Linked DNA regions of Rattus norvegicus. The protein of the gene in region 2 purifies or fractionates together with the protein of the main gene of each other region. This does not show direct contact. Links are inferred from orthologs where the notes say so. Each region holds a gene or a part of one and is shown on either strand. Other genes may lie near its edges.

Region 1 (7,354 bases), on a different chromosome or scaffold from region 2:
ACCCGGACTCACCGGTATAGGCATACAGTCTGTAATTGGTTTCGACGACAATGAAGCCAGGCTGGTGCACAGTGCCCCCAGCCCCGGAGACACCAGATGAGAGGTTGATGGCCAGGCGTGTGGGGTAGTAACGCCGGGACTTCCTCTGGAAGGACATGGGGCAAGATGGGGTCCGACCCCCGCATCAGCCCTTAACCTCCCCCCCCTCAAATGACCCAAGCACTCAGTCCTAGCTAGGTCTTTTGGCTGCACCCCAAACACCCTACTGTCCTAGAGGCCTACAGCTGGGTGTACATACCTTCCTCTGGAAAACAAGCCCGAATTCACGCAGGTGTTGCAGGAAGTTCAACAAAGAATCACTCATCCCCTCCACGGAGTAGTCCTGGTGAAGAGATGGCCATCGGGGGCTATGACACACCCACGGTCACTACCCAGCCTGTCTCCTCCTCCTCTTGCCTTCTCGGGTGGTTCTGTGGTTATTACCATCTTCCGCCATAACCTCTCCTTACCTCCCTGTCCCCCAGCTCGCTCCCTACTTACCTTGCCAAGAGTAGAGAAACTGAGCTGGAAAAGGAAGGAGAGAATCTCCACTAGATCCATGCCCCGACTCTGAGAAGGAAACGGCAGAGAGACAGGACATGAGACAGAAAGAGGGAGTTAAGGAGCACCGTAGGCTGGTAGTTACTCAGGGACCTGAGCAGAGTGAGCAGCGTCCTAGGCCCTGGCTCTTACCTGGGCTGTCTGCAGATACTGCAGCATGAAGTACCAGAGCTGGGCAGGCGTGTCTAGGAGCAGGAACTGGAAGCCAGCGGAAGTGATACACGGTGGCTCTCCGGGTTCGGTGCTAGTGACAGAGAGAGCTGATGGTAGCAGCTTGCAAAGGGCTACACCTAGTCTGCTTACACCAACTTAGGCCTCTCCTCTCAGCCAACTCTCTCCACTCCCTCCTAGCCCCAGAAGATACCCACTTTATTTGAGACCCAAGGAGATGGCTGAGCAGGGAGCAGCCATGCTCTGCCCTCCTCACCTTTTCATAAGCCCGGCCTGGCTGAGGAGTTGAGCCAGGTCCTGGCTGACAGCTGCACTGGGGGAGCCCACCATGAAATGCAAGACCACCTAGAGATGAAAAGGGTCAGGAGACTGGGGTTTCTAGGGCTACTGGGAACAGGGCGCACAGCGGAGGCCCACAGAGGCCCACTCCTCACCTCCCAGCGCTCCTCGGCGTACTTATCAAGTGAGGGGACATCCCGGGCGTGCTTGTCTGGTCCCAGCTGACTTGTGTCATCAGACCAGGCCTTGCCCCTGTGGCCAGGATGAACAGGAATAAGGAGCCCTGTTTCCTGCTTCTCTAGGTCTTTTCCCTCGCCCCATGAACCATGAGAAGAGGACATTTTCTGCAGCCCACACCCACACCTGGTCCAATGTATTCTTGAAGGAGCTTCCCGAAGGGGTGGGAGTGAGGGGGAAGAGGTTCTGGGGAGGTCTCTCAAGAGCTTCTCCCCCCATCAGTGTAGTAAGCAGTTTGTTCCCCTGGCCTAGCTCAGGAAGAGAAGGGAATGACGTACCCACCCAGAAGAGCAATTCGGAGGTTCTGGCGGAAGACAGGGTTCAAGATGAGGCCCTGGAGTCCACCGGGGAGCAGCTGGGTATGCCAAATACGGAGGCCACTCAACAGCCCGGTACTTTCCTCCTGAGCCCTGGACGGAAGCAGAGTTGGGTGAGGTGTCATGAATAGAAAGGAGACCTCCAGGGAGCTCTCTCTCCCCCAATGGCAGTCCTTGGAACAGTGTTGCAGAGGGAAGCAACATGCACTGGGTGAGGCAACCTGCACTACAATGCTAAGGACAACATAGCTAGTTTTGATTGTTGTTGGTTTCTCTGTTTTGTTTTCTAAGTCAATCCCCCCTCCCCCATTTGTTTTGTTTCAGAAGGGGTCCTATGAAGCCTGGGACAGCCTCGACCTTACAATGTATCAAACTTGCAATGTAACCTTACAATCTACTGTTTCCTGTCTCTACCTCCCTACTTCGCTGGCTACTTTTTTCCTTTCTTCCTTTGGTCTTTTTGTTTGTTTTGTTCTAATTAGTATACAGCTAGAGAGATCACAACTCTGCACCATGGAAACCACTGCAAGTGTATTCTGGAGGGTTTTCCTTGTGTAGGGCAGAGTCTGTTGAAAGGCCCTAGATCTGATCCCCAGCTCCTGTGTGTGTGCACCCTGGCAGTGTTCCAAACAAAAGCAATTTGAGAAATGACGCTTGCACAGGACTCACTTGCTGAACTCCTTCTTCACCCACAGGGCCACGGCAGCCTGTGGTAGAGGCTGCTCCAGAAAGAGCATTCTCATCACCCAGTTCTTAGCCAAGGAAGGGAGCTCCCTGTAAGGTTCAGAGGCCAATGTTATCAGAAGCAACCTCACACCTGCATCTCTGCCCTTATCTGCCTGGCCCCTTGGCTAAAAGGTGTATGGTAGGACTGAACCACAATACAAGGTTTTTCTGGTTCATAACCTTGGGGTTCACAATGTGATCAAATACCCTGCAACATCTGCCTCTCAAATGTCTCACGCCATCTCCCACATCCTTACCAGTCCCGCTGCCCCCACAACCTCTGTTTTGGATTGACACACTGTCTAACACCCTGGTACTCACTGAGGTAAGCCTCTCCTCCATGATAACTAACTTCAGTCTGCAGGCCCCGTTACACTCTCCAAACGCCCCTCACCTGAAGACAGCCAGACAAGTGGCAGGGTGTCCATACAATCGGTCCAGCACCCCAGGGCTCAGGCCGCCTAAGAACTCCTGTAGATTCCTGCATTGTAGGTGTGCTCGGTTCAGTCCACCCCTCGCGGGGGTGATCTCCATCACCTGAGAGGGACAAGTGTCAGAACTCCCGCATGACCCATATCACTCCAGATCTATGACTCCAGATCTATCAGGTTCACTTTCTGTACTTTCCTGTCTGGTGCCACTCATTCCTCCCAAACCCTTCGTGTCCTGCTTCTTCATCATGCAGCTCAGGATGGCCTTGAACTTGCTATGTAGCCAAGGATGGATTTGAACCCCTGACCCATCTTTGTGACCTCGATGTCACAAGTGGCCACCAGGTTTTTCATCCCACATCTGCCTTTAAGTTCAGCCTTTTTTCAGTCTCCAGGGGGTGAGATTATTCTCATTTTGTGTATGGTCCTGAGGATCAAATCCAGATCCTCACTGGTGTGTACAAAAGTGACTGAATTACTTGTTGTGTCCTACTTGCAAAAGTGTTTTGCATTATCAATGATGTCTCTAGTTGACCTAAGCAGTGACAAAGATGCTTGTTTGAGCCTAAGCTTCTCTCTTGTCCACCCTCCTGGTCAAATCACTATAAATCTGTCAAGTACTTAGCGCTCTCATCTGGGGACACGGTTATAAACTGCCTCCACGCTTACCAACCTAAATATCTTTCTATCCCTTCCCCCCACCCCCCGAGCCAGCTTCACCCCTCTCACTGAGACACACGCTTCCGAGCTCCTCACTTCTCCCCAGCTTTCCTTTCACACCACCTCTCACTCAACTCTCTCCCTCCCTGACCCCTCTCACACCCCCTCACCACTCGGATCCCCTCCGCGCACCCCGGGTCACCAGCCGTCGCCTAATCAGAGCTAATGTCTCGCATTGACTCCTGGAAATAAAAGATGAAAATTCTAAAACGTGGGAGAACCGCGGAGAACTTCACAGACAGGACCCAGCCAAAAAGCAGCCCAAAGAGAAGGGAGCGCAGAAAAAGTGTCAAGAGTAAAGGGGATTAGAATAGGCAATGTACGCGCCTGTCGCGTGGCATACTGGGAATTGTAGTCCTCTCCTAGTCTACATTGGAGCACTGTGAGGAGGGTCTGACTACAGTTCCCGAAAGGCACCGCAAGAAGGCCGGCCGAGAGACAGTGACTTTTCATTAGGATTCCCTAGGAACACCCTAAGCCAGACCATTTGGTTCCGCGCCTCTCTCCCTTGTGAAGCTAAAGCTAATCTCAGTCAGGGCTAGACAGGAGGAGGCACCCAATCTGGAGGAGCTCCAGGGTCTCCTATCGGAGACGCGCTACAGCAGCTCAGTGGTGGTATGTTAGACTTAGAGACCTCAAAACTGGATTTCTTGACCTGTGCTGTTTTCCACAAAACTGAGATAATGCACAGTGCAGAGAGTTTTCATGAGTCGAGGATCAACACAATCGCCCTTATTTGGCTACTAAATGCTCAATCAATCAAAATGTCTGTGAGGTCAGAGTCCCCTAGAACTGGAATTACAGACAGCTGTGAGCTACCATATGGGTGCTAGAAATTGAACCCGGGCCCTTTGGAAGAACAGCCCAGTGTACTTAACTGCTGAGCCATCTCTCCACCATCCCCCAACCCGCACAATCAATCTTTTTTTTTTTTTTTTTTTTTTTTTTTGGTTCTTTTTTTCGGAGCTGGGGACCGAACCCAGGGCCTTACGCTTCCTAGGCAAGCGCTCTACCACTGAGCTAAATCCCCAACCCCTCGCACAATCAATCTTAATCTCTTCCTCCTCAGCCCTTCCAACTCCCCGGGAGTTAGAAGATTATATTACAATTTTTAAAAGAAAGCTCTCGTTTGCCCTGATCTGACTTATGAATTTATCATAGACAAGACAAGGGAAAGGAAGGAATGACAGCAACTAAGGTCATCTAGAGGTTCTCCATTTTTTTTTTTTTTCCGGAGCTGGGGACCGGAACCCAGGGCCTTGCGCTTGCTAGGCAAGCGCTCTACCACTGACCTAAATCCCCAATCCCTCTCCAATTCTTATGGGGGCAAATTCTGTTATTCTTACATCACTATCAAGCCCAACAAGAATAAGAAAACGGCACAAGGAAGTCCCAGTGCTGATGAGAAACACATTTACCAAGGGCAAAAATGGTGGGGCCATGTAAGGACTTGGTGATGCTTTATTAGGTATTTTAAAGAAAGTCGCAGGCTGCTGAGATGGCTCAGTTGGGAAAGGCCTTGCTGTGCTGTGACCTGAGCAGAGGGAAAGACAACTGACTTCCATTCCTGTGCCATGGAGCTGGGCATCCTGGCCTCTTCCTTCCGGCACTCACACACAGCAGTAATAATAAAAGTCACCTTTTTTTTTTTTTTTTGGTTCTTTTTTTCGGAGCTGGGGACCGAACCCAGGGCCTTGCGCTTCCTAGGTAAGCGCTCTACCACTGAGCTAAATCCCCAGCCCCTAAAAGTCACCTTTTAACAATGAAAGTACTCTGTCGTTGTCTTGGTTGTAAATGTTAGAATAAACCTGGAACCAGATCCTGACCAAGACCCTATAGTGGAACTCCAGCCCCTCCCTCACTGCTGTTACTTAACTCTCAGCCAAGGCAAGGCAGTTTCTAAAGATAAAATGGCCTTTTCTCCAGGAGGGAGAAATTGAAGACTTGCACATAGCCCCAGATGCAGCGCTTAACTTCCCATTCCGCAAACCTCCTAGATAAACCCAAGTACCCGCTTCCTTTTTGGGCAGATGCTCCTCTAACACTGTGTCTGAAATAAACTATTGAAATCAGTTGAAATCAGTCTGTTTTCTTTTCTACCTCCTGTCCCTTTAAGCTGTTCAGAAATCTAACAGTAAAAAGAATAAAATTCCTGTAACTCCAGTTCCAGGGGGATCAAATGTCCCCTTCTGCGCCTTTGTAGCACCTGGACACAGAACTTAAAAATAATAATCTTCTTTAGAAAGAAAAGAAGGGGCTGGAGAGATAGCTCAGTGGTTAAGAGCACTGACTGCTCTTCCAGAGGTCCTGAGTTCAATTCCAGCAACCACATGGTGGCTCACAACCATCTGTAATGGGACCTCCTGCCCTCTTCTGGTGTGTCTGAAGACAGCTATAGTGTACTCACATACATAAAATAAACAAATGTTGAAGGAGGAGGAGGAGGAAGAAGAGGAAGAGGAGGAGGAAGAAGAGGAGGAGGAAGAGGAGGAGGAAAGAAAAAAGATGAATCTGGCACATGGGCCTGTAACTCTGCATGCCCTTGGAAGAGGCAAAGGTAGAAGGATTGGGAGTGGTCGTGGAGGAGGCTGTAAACTCCCAATCCTCCTGCCTCAGTTTCCACAAACAATTTTTTTTCTTTTCTTTTTTTTTTCGGAGCTGGGGACCGAACCCAGGGCCTTGTGCTTGCTAGGCAAGCACTCTACCACTGAGCTAAATCCCCAACCCTCCACAAACAATTTTAACGTGATTGTTTTTTGACCTAGCAAAGCCACCACTAGAATTGAATCATCCAAGCTGGGGGTGTGTTGGCACACCCCTTTAATCTGAAGACTCATGAAGCAGAGGCAGGCGGATCTCTGTGAGTTCGTGGCCTACCTGGTCTACAAAAGCAAGTTCCAACAGCCACGGAAACCCTGTCTTGTATCATCTTGAAACCCTCACTCACAGAATAAATGCAGATTTACCCATTGAAGATGTTTCCTGAAGTCAATGGAGAGGTTGGTTAGATAAAACACGAATCATTGTAGCAATGGAGAAGACTGAGCGCCCCTGAGAAAGGCTGGGCCCTTATGTATACAAGCCTTGAACCGCACATGGTCCATCAGCATAGAGAAAAATGCGAATTACAAAGCAGCTTAAACGGCTCCTAAGAAGCTTTGATATAAACCCGAAAGGTCCCCTAGATGGCTTAGTGACAGAAGCGTTTGCTATGCAGGTGTGAGGACCAAAGTTCAGATCTCCAGGACCCACGTGACGTGTAAGGTGGGAATAGCCTGTAGGGATCCGGAGAGTCGCTGGCCAGGGAAACTGCGTATCAGGGAGCGCTGGCTGATTGGGAGACCCCGCCACAGTGAGTAAGATGAAAGCCGTGGGGGCTTCAACTTGACTTTGCTTGGCAGGATTCAACAGAGGAAGCGGCGTCATCTAATAGAGCGATAAAGGTAAGGCTGGGAACTTGGGAGACACCCCCACTCCCGTGAAGGAACAGCATGAGGAGGCATCACGTCATAAATCTTCCAACCCTGGCAGGCATCTAATAAACAGCTGCTTCCGACTAACTCCAGTCTTTATTGCCTGTGCTGCTCAGGCAAGGAGCCTAATCTATTAGTTTTCTTCTGTCTATAATGGTAGTGGTTTATATGTTATAGTAAGCAGAACAATTATAATATTTGGTATATAGCAGATTCTCAGTAAAACATTACCAGTTGTTTCTATAATTTTCATTTTTGGTCATTTTTGTTTTAGTTTTTAGTTGATTTTTTTTAACTTTTTTTTTCTTTTCTTTTCTTTTTTTTTTTTTTGGAGCTGGGGACGGAACCCAGGACCTTGTGCTTACTAGGCAAGCGCTCTACCACTGAGCCAAATCCCCAA
Region 2 (6,718 bases):
CCAGGCAGCTAGGATAAGGGTCTTAAAGCTCAAACTTCACAGTGACACACCTACCCCAACAGGGCCACACCTTCTAATAGTGCCATTCCCTGGGTGGAGCAGTACAAACCATCACACCCTGTCTCACACAAAAGCGGTGGTTGGGGGGCAGGGGAGATATAAAGGAGACAATTATTTTGTGCACATACATGTACCACAGCATGCTCTGAAGGTCAGAGAGTAACTTGTGGGAATTCTTAATTCCAAATTGTGAGCCATCATGTGGTTGCTGAGATTTGAACTCAGGATCTCTGGAAGGGCAGTAAGAGCACATCTCTCCAGCACCCTTCCCTGCTTTATAAGAGTTGAGATATAAAGGAATGTAGCCCCAGTCCCAGCTGTTTTGATTTATTTGATACAGAATCTTGCTGTATAGCTGGGGCTTTGCCTCCCAGGTGTTGAGACTACGGCATGCACCACCATGTCAGTCCTGCTTGTAGCTAAGTGTCTGTACATATAGATTATACATTAATTTTACACATTCTGAATTTTTGGTTGGTTTTATTTATAAAACATTTATTATTTTATGTGTATCAGGATTTTACTTCCATGTATGCCTGCGTACCACTTGTATGCCTGGTGCCATCCAAGGTCAGAAGTGGCATTGGATCCCACTGGAACTGGCAGTTGCAAGCTGCTGTGTGGATGCTGAGAATTGAACCTAGATCCTTAGGAAGCAGTCAGTGTTCTCAACCCCTGATCCATTTCTTCTATCCTCTACACATGGTTAATATATGTGTCTTGGTTTTGTTCTCCCTGTCTCTCCCAGATCAAACTTGGACACAGGTCAGAAGCTAAAGATGGTAAGTATCACATGTAATTTGATCACCCAGGAGATGTTCTGATATGAGGCCTGAGGAGAATGTCAGGGAGAGTTAATGAGAGTTCAGTAGAGTTATTGCAGTATCTTTAGAGCAGCAGTTCTCAACCTGCGGGTCATGACCTGTTTGGGGTCCCATAACATATTTACATTACAATTCACAACAGTAGCAAAACTACATTTATAAAATAACAACGAAAATAATTTCATGCTTGGGAGTCATTGCAACATGAGAAACTGCATTAAAGGGTCATGGCATCAGGAAGGCTGAGAACCACTGCTCTAGAGAGTAAAGCAAGTCTGGTTAGAAGCAACATGTAAGCATTGCGGGAACATTCAGATTGTAAGTGTAAGTGGGGCAGTGAGGTTAGTGCTTGGTCTGGATGCCCTCGCTACTGCTTCGGGTGCTGTACATCATTGCTTTTGCATTTCTGGTGTTCTGCTTGCTTTGAAAAATTCAAGGGTACATCTTCCTAGAATAACACAAAGTTCCTGAAAAATGGACACATTAGGAAAAGGTTTATTTCTTATTCTCAAGCCTCTTAGAATATCAGGTTCTGTTTGGCCATCAAGTAATAGTTATTATGAAATGTTATGGGCTGGAGAGATGGCTCAGTGGTTAAGAGCATTGTCTGCTCTTCCAGAGGTCCTGAGTTCAATTCCCAGCAACCACATGGTGGCTCACAACCATCTGTAATGAGATCTAATGCCCTCTTCTGGTGTGTCTGAAGTCAGCTACAGTGAACTCATATAAATATAATAACTAAATCTTAAGGGAAGAAAGAAAGAAAGCAAGAAAGAAATGTCACCATCGTTGGGGATTTAGCTCAGCGGTAGAGCGCTTGCCTAGCGAGCGCAAGGCCCTGGGTTCGGTCCCCAGCTTCAAAAAAAAAAAAGAAAAGAAAAAAAAAAAAAGAAATGTCACCATCAGAGAAAGTGCCAGCGCTGTTGTAGTTTGAATTTCGACCATTTGTATTGAAAAAAGCTATCGTTCGTGCTAATTTGCTATTAGCACGCATAGCCTTTCTCTGATGTTTGTAGGACAAGAGAAAAGGCCCTATTACCACATATTTGCTACATGTCTGTCTATGCTATTGTAATAATTTCAGAATGATATGTAGAGACATAAGTACTTTGCCATTTTTCATATACTGTGTTAAGCTACCTTAAAACAATGTGGAAAACACTTTCTCATAAAAATAGTTAAATTTGCCCTCTGTGTGTATGTAAAAGGTTTGAAATTTCATAATTGTTGTTCATTTTTTACATTCTTTTTTTATAGGTATAAATAGAACAGCCTTAAGGGAGATAAAGCTCTTGCAGGAACTAAGTCATCCAAATATAATTGGTGTGAGTATGATATAAGCTGTGTGCCCCTTGGGGTCCTCCATCATCTGATTATGACGGCTATTGGTCAGAGGCTCAGTGTAGTGGATTGATGTAGATAACGTTGCAGACATTTGAGGATTGATTAGGGTGAAGTGTATTTTCTCTCCCACTTTTGCTGTGAGTGGTATCTTTAGCATTATACATATAAATGAGGAAAGGAATCAAATGTTTCCACACAGGTTGATTTTGTCAGAAATGGTTTTGAGTCCAACTGTTAAAAGTAGCAAATTGCATTTAAGTTGAGAACCTTGTTGCCTGCATGAGGGCTGGAGTGGATTTCAGTGAAGTTACTGTAATTAGAGTACTAACAGTACTGCAAGTATGTATCCTGTACCTGGCAAGAAGTTTTTTACAAATTTGCTTAGGAAATTTTGTTTGTTTTTGTTTTGTTCACGACAGGGTTTCTCTGTGTCTTCCTGGCTGTTCTGGAACTCACTCTGTAGACCCAGCTGGCCTCGAACTCAGATTTGTCTGCTTCTGCCTCCCACGTGCTGGGACCAAAGAAGTGTGCCACTATGACAAGAATTTTCTTTTAAACATTGAAACTTTTTTTTCTTTTCTTAAATTTGAGTGTGGCATGCGTGCTTATGTATACAATTTGCCTATGCATGTGTATTTGGAGGCCTGAGGTTCATATAAAATATCATTTTCTATTACTTTTCTGTCATATTCACTGAGGCAGGGTCTCAGTCAAACCCAGCACTCAGTGACAGGGACAGTTTTTTAGCTAATGTGCCCTAGAGAACTCCTGTCTTCCGTCCAAGGCTGGAATGGCAGGCACAGCACTCTTCCTGCCTGGCGTGTGCATGGTTTCTGAATCTGAACTTTGGTGTAGTCCTTAACATTTGGGAGGCGGGGGCTTTTACTCCCGAGCCAACTGGAAACCAAGGTGAAATTTTCTTTTCCCTTTTTTTTTCCTCCAGATTTATTCATTTAATATATATAAGTACACTGTCACTGTCTTAGACACACCAGAAAAGGGCACCAGATCCATTACAGATGGTTGTGAGCCACCATGTGGTTGCTGGGAATTGAACTCAGGACCTCAGGAAGAGCAGTGAGTGCTCTTGACCATTGAGCCATCTCTCTAGCCCTCTTCCTTTTTCGAGACAGGGTTTTCCTATTTAGCCTTGGCTGTCCTTGAACTTGCTCTGTAGACCAGGCTGGCTTTGGACGCGGAGATCTTCCTGCCTCTGCCTCCCAAGTGCTGGATTACAGCCATGCATCACCACTGCCGGAGCTGTGAAATTTTCATTAATTTATTTATTCTAATTCTTGGACTTTAGGAAGAGGAGTTTTTAAGTTTTTAGTGAATTTGTTAAGTGGGTTAATGTTTTTGCGCCAGAGAGTACGAATTCTTGTTAACAAATGGGGCAAATGTTGAGTTTAATGAAGGAGTCTCAGTTCACAGGAAATTTCCCGCAGTTTAGGAATGTAAGCCAGGCAGTACACGTTTGTGTTATTTATAATCACAGGGGAGGTGGAGGCAGAAGTAGGATTGAGTTGAAGGCCAGCCTGGGCTACATAGCAAGTTCTAGGTCAGCATGATATATAGTGATGTCTTATCTCAAAAATCCAAGGACTGGGGCTGGAGAGATGGCTCAGTGGTTAAGAGCACCGACTGCTCTTCCAGAGGTCCTGAGTTCAATTCCCAACAACCACATGGGCTCACAACCATCTGTAATGGGATTTGATGCCCTCTTCTGGTGTGTCTGAAGACAGCTACAGTGTACTTATATATAATTTAAAAAAAAAAAAAAATCCAAGGACTGGCGGATGTATCTTAGTGGTGGAACACTTGCCTAGCATTCTGAAGGCCCAGGATTTACCGGTAGTGTGTGTGGGAAAAGCAAACATAATTTTTAAAAATTATTCCGACAATAAATTCCAATGTTATTAAATAGAGAGTAACAGTTTGACTTGATTTTTCTTCTTTGCAGCTCCTTGATGCATTTGGACATAAATCGAACATTAGCCTTGTCTTTGATTTTATGGAGACTGACCTAGAGGTAAGATAGAATTCCTGGAGATATCGCTCTACTTAGTGGAAGCAAAACCTGCATACTTATTCTGCTTTAAGAAAAGACTGATGAACAAAAAGTTGCTTAATTTTGCAGATCTCTAATTTCTTTCCTTTTTTTTTTTTAAAGATTTATTTATTATGTATAAGTACACTGTATATTGCTGTCTTCAGACACACCAGGAGAGGGCATCAGATACCATTACAGATGGTTGTGAGTCACCATGTGGTTGCTGGGATTTGAACTCAGGACCTCTGGAAGAGCAGACAGTGCTCTTAACCATTGAGCCATCTCTCCAGCCCAGATCTCTAATTTCTTTACATTTAATTGTATTTCTACTAAGAGGTATAGATTTTATTGACATTTTGCCAAGTTCCTTTTAACTTACTGACATTTTCAGGCACATTAGACCTGACAATTTTATATTCATCCCCATATTATCTATCAAAGGTTAATGTCTTTTAGAAAACCAAGTTTCTCTGTAAAAGTTGCAGGTTTTTTTTTTTTTTTTGTTTTTTTTGTTTTTTTTTTTTTTTTTTTTTTTTGGTTCTTTTTTTCGGAGCTGGGGACCGAACCCAGGGCCTTGCGCTTCCTAGGTAAGCGCTCTACCACTGAGCTAAATCCCCAGCCCCGCAGGTTTTTTATTAATTAAATCCCCCAAACATTAATAGTTCCAAGTTAAAACTAAAATTCTTATACATTGCTGGTTTGAATCCAAATTTTATATTCACTTTGGAAAGTAGTACAGTTTGTCAAAAAATTAAAGACACATTTACTATCAGATCAAAGGTAAAAAGGATTTTTATGACTGCATCAAGCAGGCAAAGGAATGCAGGACGTACAGCCTTAGTCTAATTACCTCTGTAAGGAAATGCTTAGTCCCTTTAATTCTACCACACTTGCTTGGGTTTCTTCCTTCCTTCCTTCCCTTCTGTCTTTTTTTTTTTAAAGATTTATTTATTATGTATATAGCATTCTACCTGCATGTACGCCTGCAGGCCAGAATAGGGCACCAGATCTCATCATAGATGGTTTTGAGCCACCATGTGGTTGCTGGGAACTAAACTCAGGACCTCTGGAAGAGCAGACAGTGCTCTTAACCTCTGAGCCATCTCTCCAGCCCTGTCTTTCTTTTTCTGATATAGGGTTTCTCTGTGTAGCCTTGGCTGCCCTGGAACTCACTCTGTAGGCCAGGCTAGCCTTGAACCCAGAAATCTGCCTGTCTCTGCCTCCCAGGTGCTTTGATTAAAGTTATGTACATCACCACCCAGCGTTACTTGGGTTTCTTGATTGGTAAGTAGGTTTTAGGTCATAGGTCATGTGTCTTGTTTTTTTTTTTTTTTTTTTTTTTTTTTAATATTTTGAAATTTTTATTAGAGGAAATATCTAATGGTTGTCGTACACAAATATCGGTTTCTCAAGGACAGAACGACAGATTTATCTGTGTTTGAAGTTCCAGGATAGATAGCAAGAGGCACTGTGCTCAAACATACTTGTAGTATGAAAGGGCCATCATGAGTACAAAGCTGTTACCTTCGGTTTCTACTCACAGTTGACTTAACAATTCTCCGTCCCAGCGGAGGGAACAGGGGATGTAGTACCAAGTGGCCAGCCGCGGCCCCTGGTGCTCAATGCCTCAGCTATGCTGCACACTCAGGGTACAGCAGAGGCAGCTAAGGGAAGGAGTGGGACTTAGCACTCCAGTTCCTCAGTACGCTTTGCAGACCTTCGGACTCTTCTTCCTAGACAGAGTACAGTGGGATTCAGGCGAGAGCTAGCGCTGCTGACCACTACCCCATTAGTGCAAACTCTAGTTCAGATACTGAAGAATCATGTTGGCCAATTGAGGCAGGTTCTCTTGTAGGCGCTTTAGTGTAAGACAAACTGGCATGGAGGGGACTCCATTCTGCCAAGGTCAAGGGTTAGTATATTGGAGGTGCCCCGTGTTGCCAAGAAGCGTTCAGTCTCCCGTACAGCGCTCTTCTGTGCTTCCACCACAGCAGTCAGCACCTGGCCCTGGCCTCATCCAACTGGTGCAGAGAGCTGCCAGAGGCTAGGGGCTGGGACTGCATAGACTGATGGGGTGGGGGAGCCCGATTCTCAAACAGTGCAGACCGGAGCTGAGCCAGGGGCGATAGCTCTTCCAAACCCACCACGGTGAACAAGGGTAGATCTCAGCGGACTCCACAAGTCTGGGAGGAAGGGCAAGGCGCAGTCTCTGCCGATTTCTCAAACTCCAGAGTCATTATAGCCGGAGGATTTGATGCCAGGATTTCCTCTGGATCCAGTGCCTTGGGGACAGCGACCAGGACTCCCCCATTTGCTACAGGACTGGTGGTGTGCTGTTCCTTTCGTTGTTCTCAAGCGTGGCCTCCGGCTCACTGACAGCAGGGTCTAGGCTCTTGGAGGTGCCAGCCACCTGAAGCCCGCCGCTCAGCCAGCCTGGCAG

Evidence for each region.
Region 1: the proteins of Cdk7 (region 2) and Gtf2h4 purify together in Homo sapiens (affinity purification with mass spectrometry; 7 studies listed by BioGRID and IntAct, with this or other methods). This does not show direct contact. The link is inferred for Rattus norvegicus from reciprocal best matches to the Homo sapiens genes CDK7 and GTF2H4.

Annotation. Positions count from the first base shown.
Region 1 is NC_086038.1:3,072,537-3,079,890, reverse strand, and holds the start of Gtf2h4 (general transcription factor IIH subunit 4), read right to left. Parts: upstream 3,782-7,354; 5' UTR 3,614-3,781; exon of another isoform or gene 2,868-3,613; 5' UTR 2,865-2,867; coding exon 2,725-2,864; exon of another isoform or gene 2,379-2,724; coding exon 2,274-2,378; exon of another isoform or gene 1,929-2,273; intron 1,816-1,928; exon of another isoform or gene 1,698-1,815; coding exon 1,566-1,697; exon of another isoform or gene 1,540-1,565; intron 1,424-1,539; exon of another isoform or gene 1,353-1,423; intron 1,303-1,352; coding exon 1,206-1,302; intron 1,117-1,205; coding exon 1,028-1,116; intron 845-1,027; coding exon 733-844; intron 610-732; coding exon 541-609; intron 383-540; coding exon 299-382; intron 146-298; coding exon 13-145; intron 1-12. UniProt on the Homo sapiens protein: Component of the general transcription and DNA repair factor IIH (TFIIH) core complex, which is involved in general and transcription-coupled nucleotide excision repair (NER) of damaged DNA and, when complexed to CAK, in RNA transcription by RNA polymerase II.
Region 2 is NC_086020.1:33,587,342-33,594,059, reverse strand, and holds part of Cdk7 (cyclin-dependent kinase 7), read left to right. Parts: intron 1-808; coding exon 809-842; intron 843-2,141; coding exon 2,142-2,209; intron 2,210-4,188; coding exon 4,189-4,257; intron 4,258-6,067; exon of another isoform or gene 6,068-6,718. UniProt on the Homo sapiens protein: Serine/threonine kinase involved in cell cycle control and in RNA polymerase II-mediated RNA transcription. Cyclin-dependent kinases (CDKs) are activated by the binding to a cyclin and mediate the progression through the cell cycle.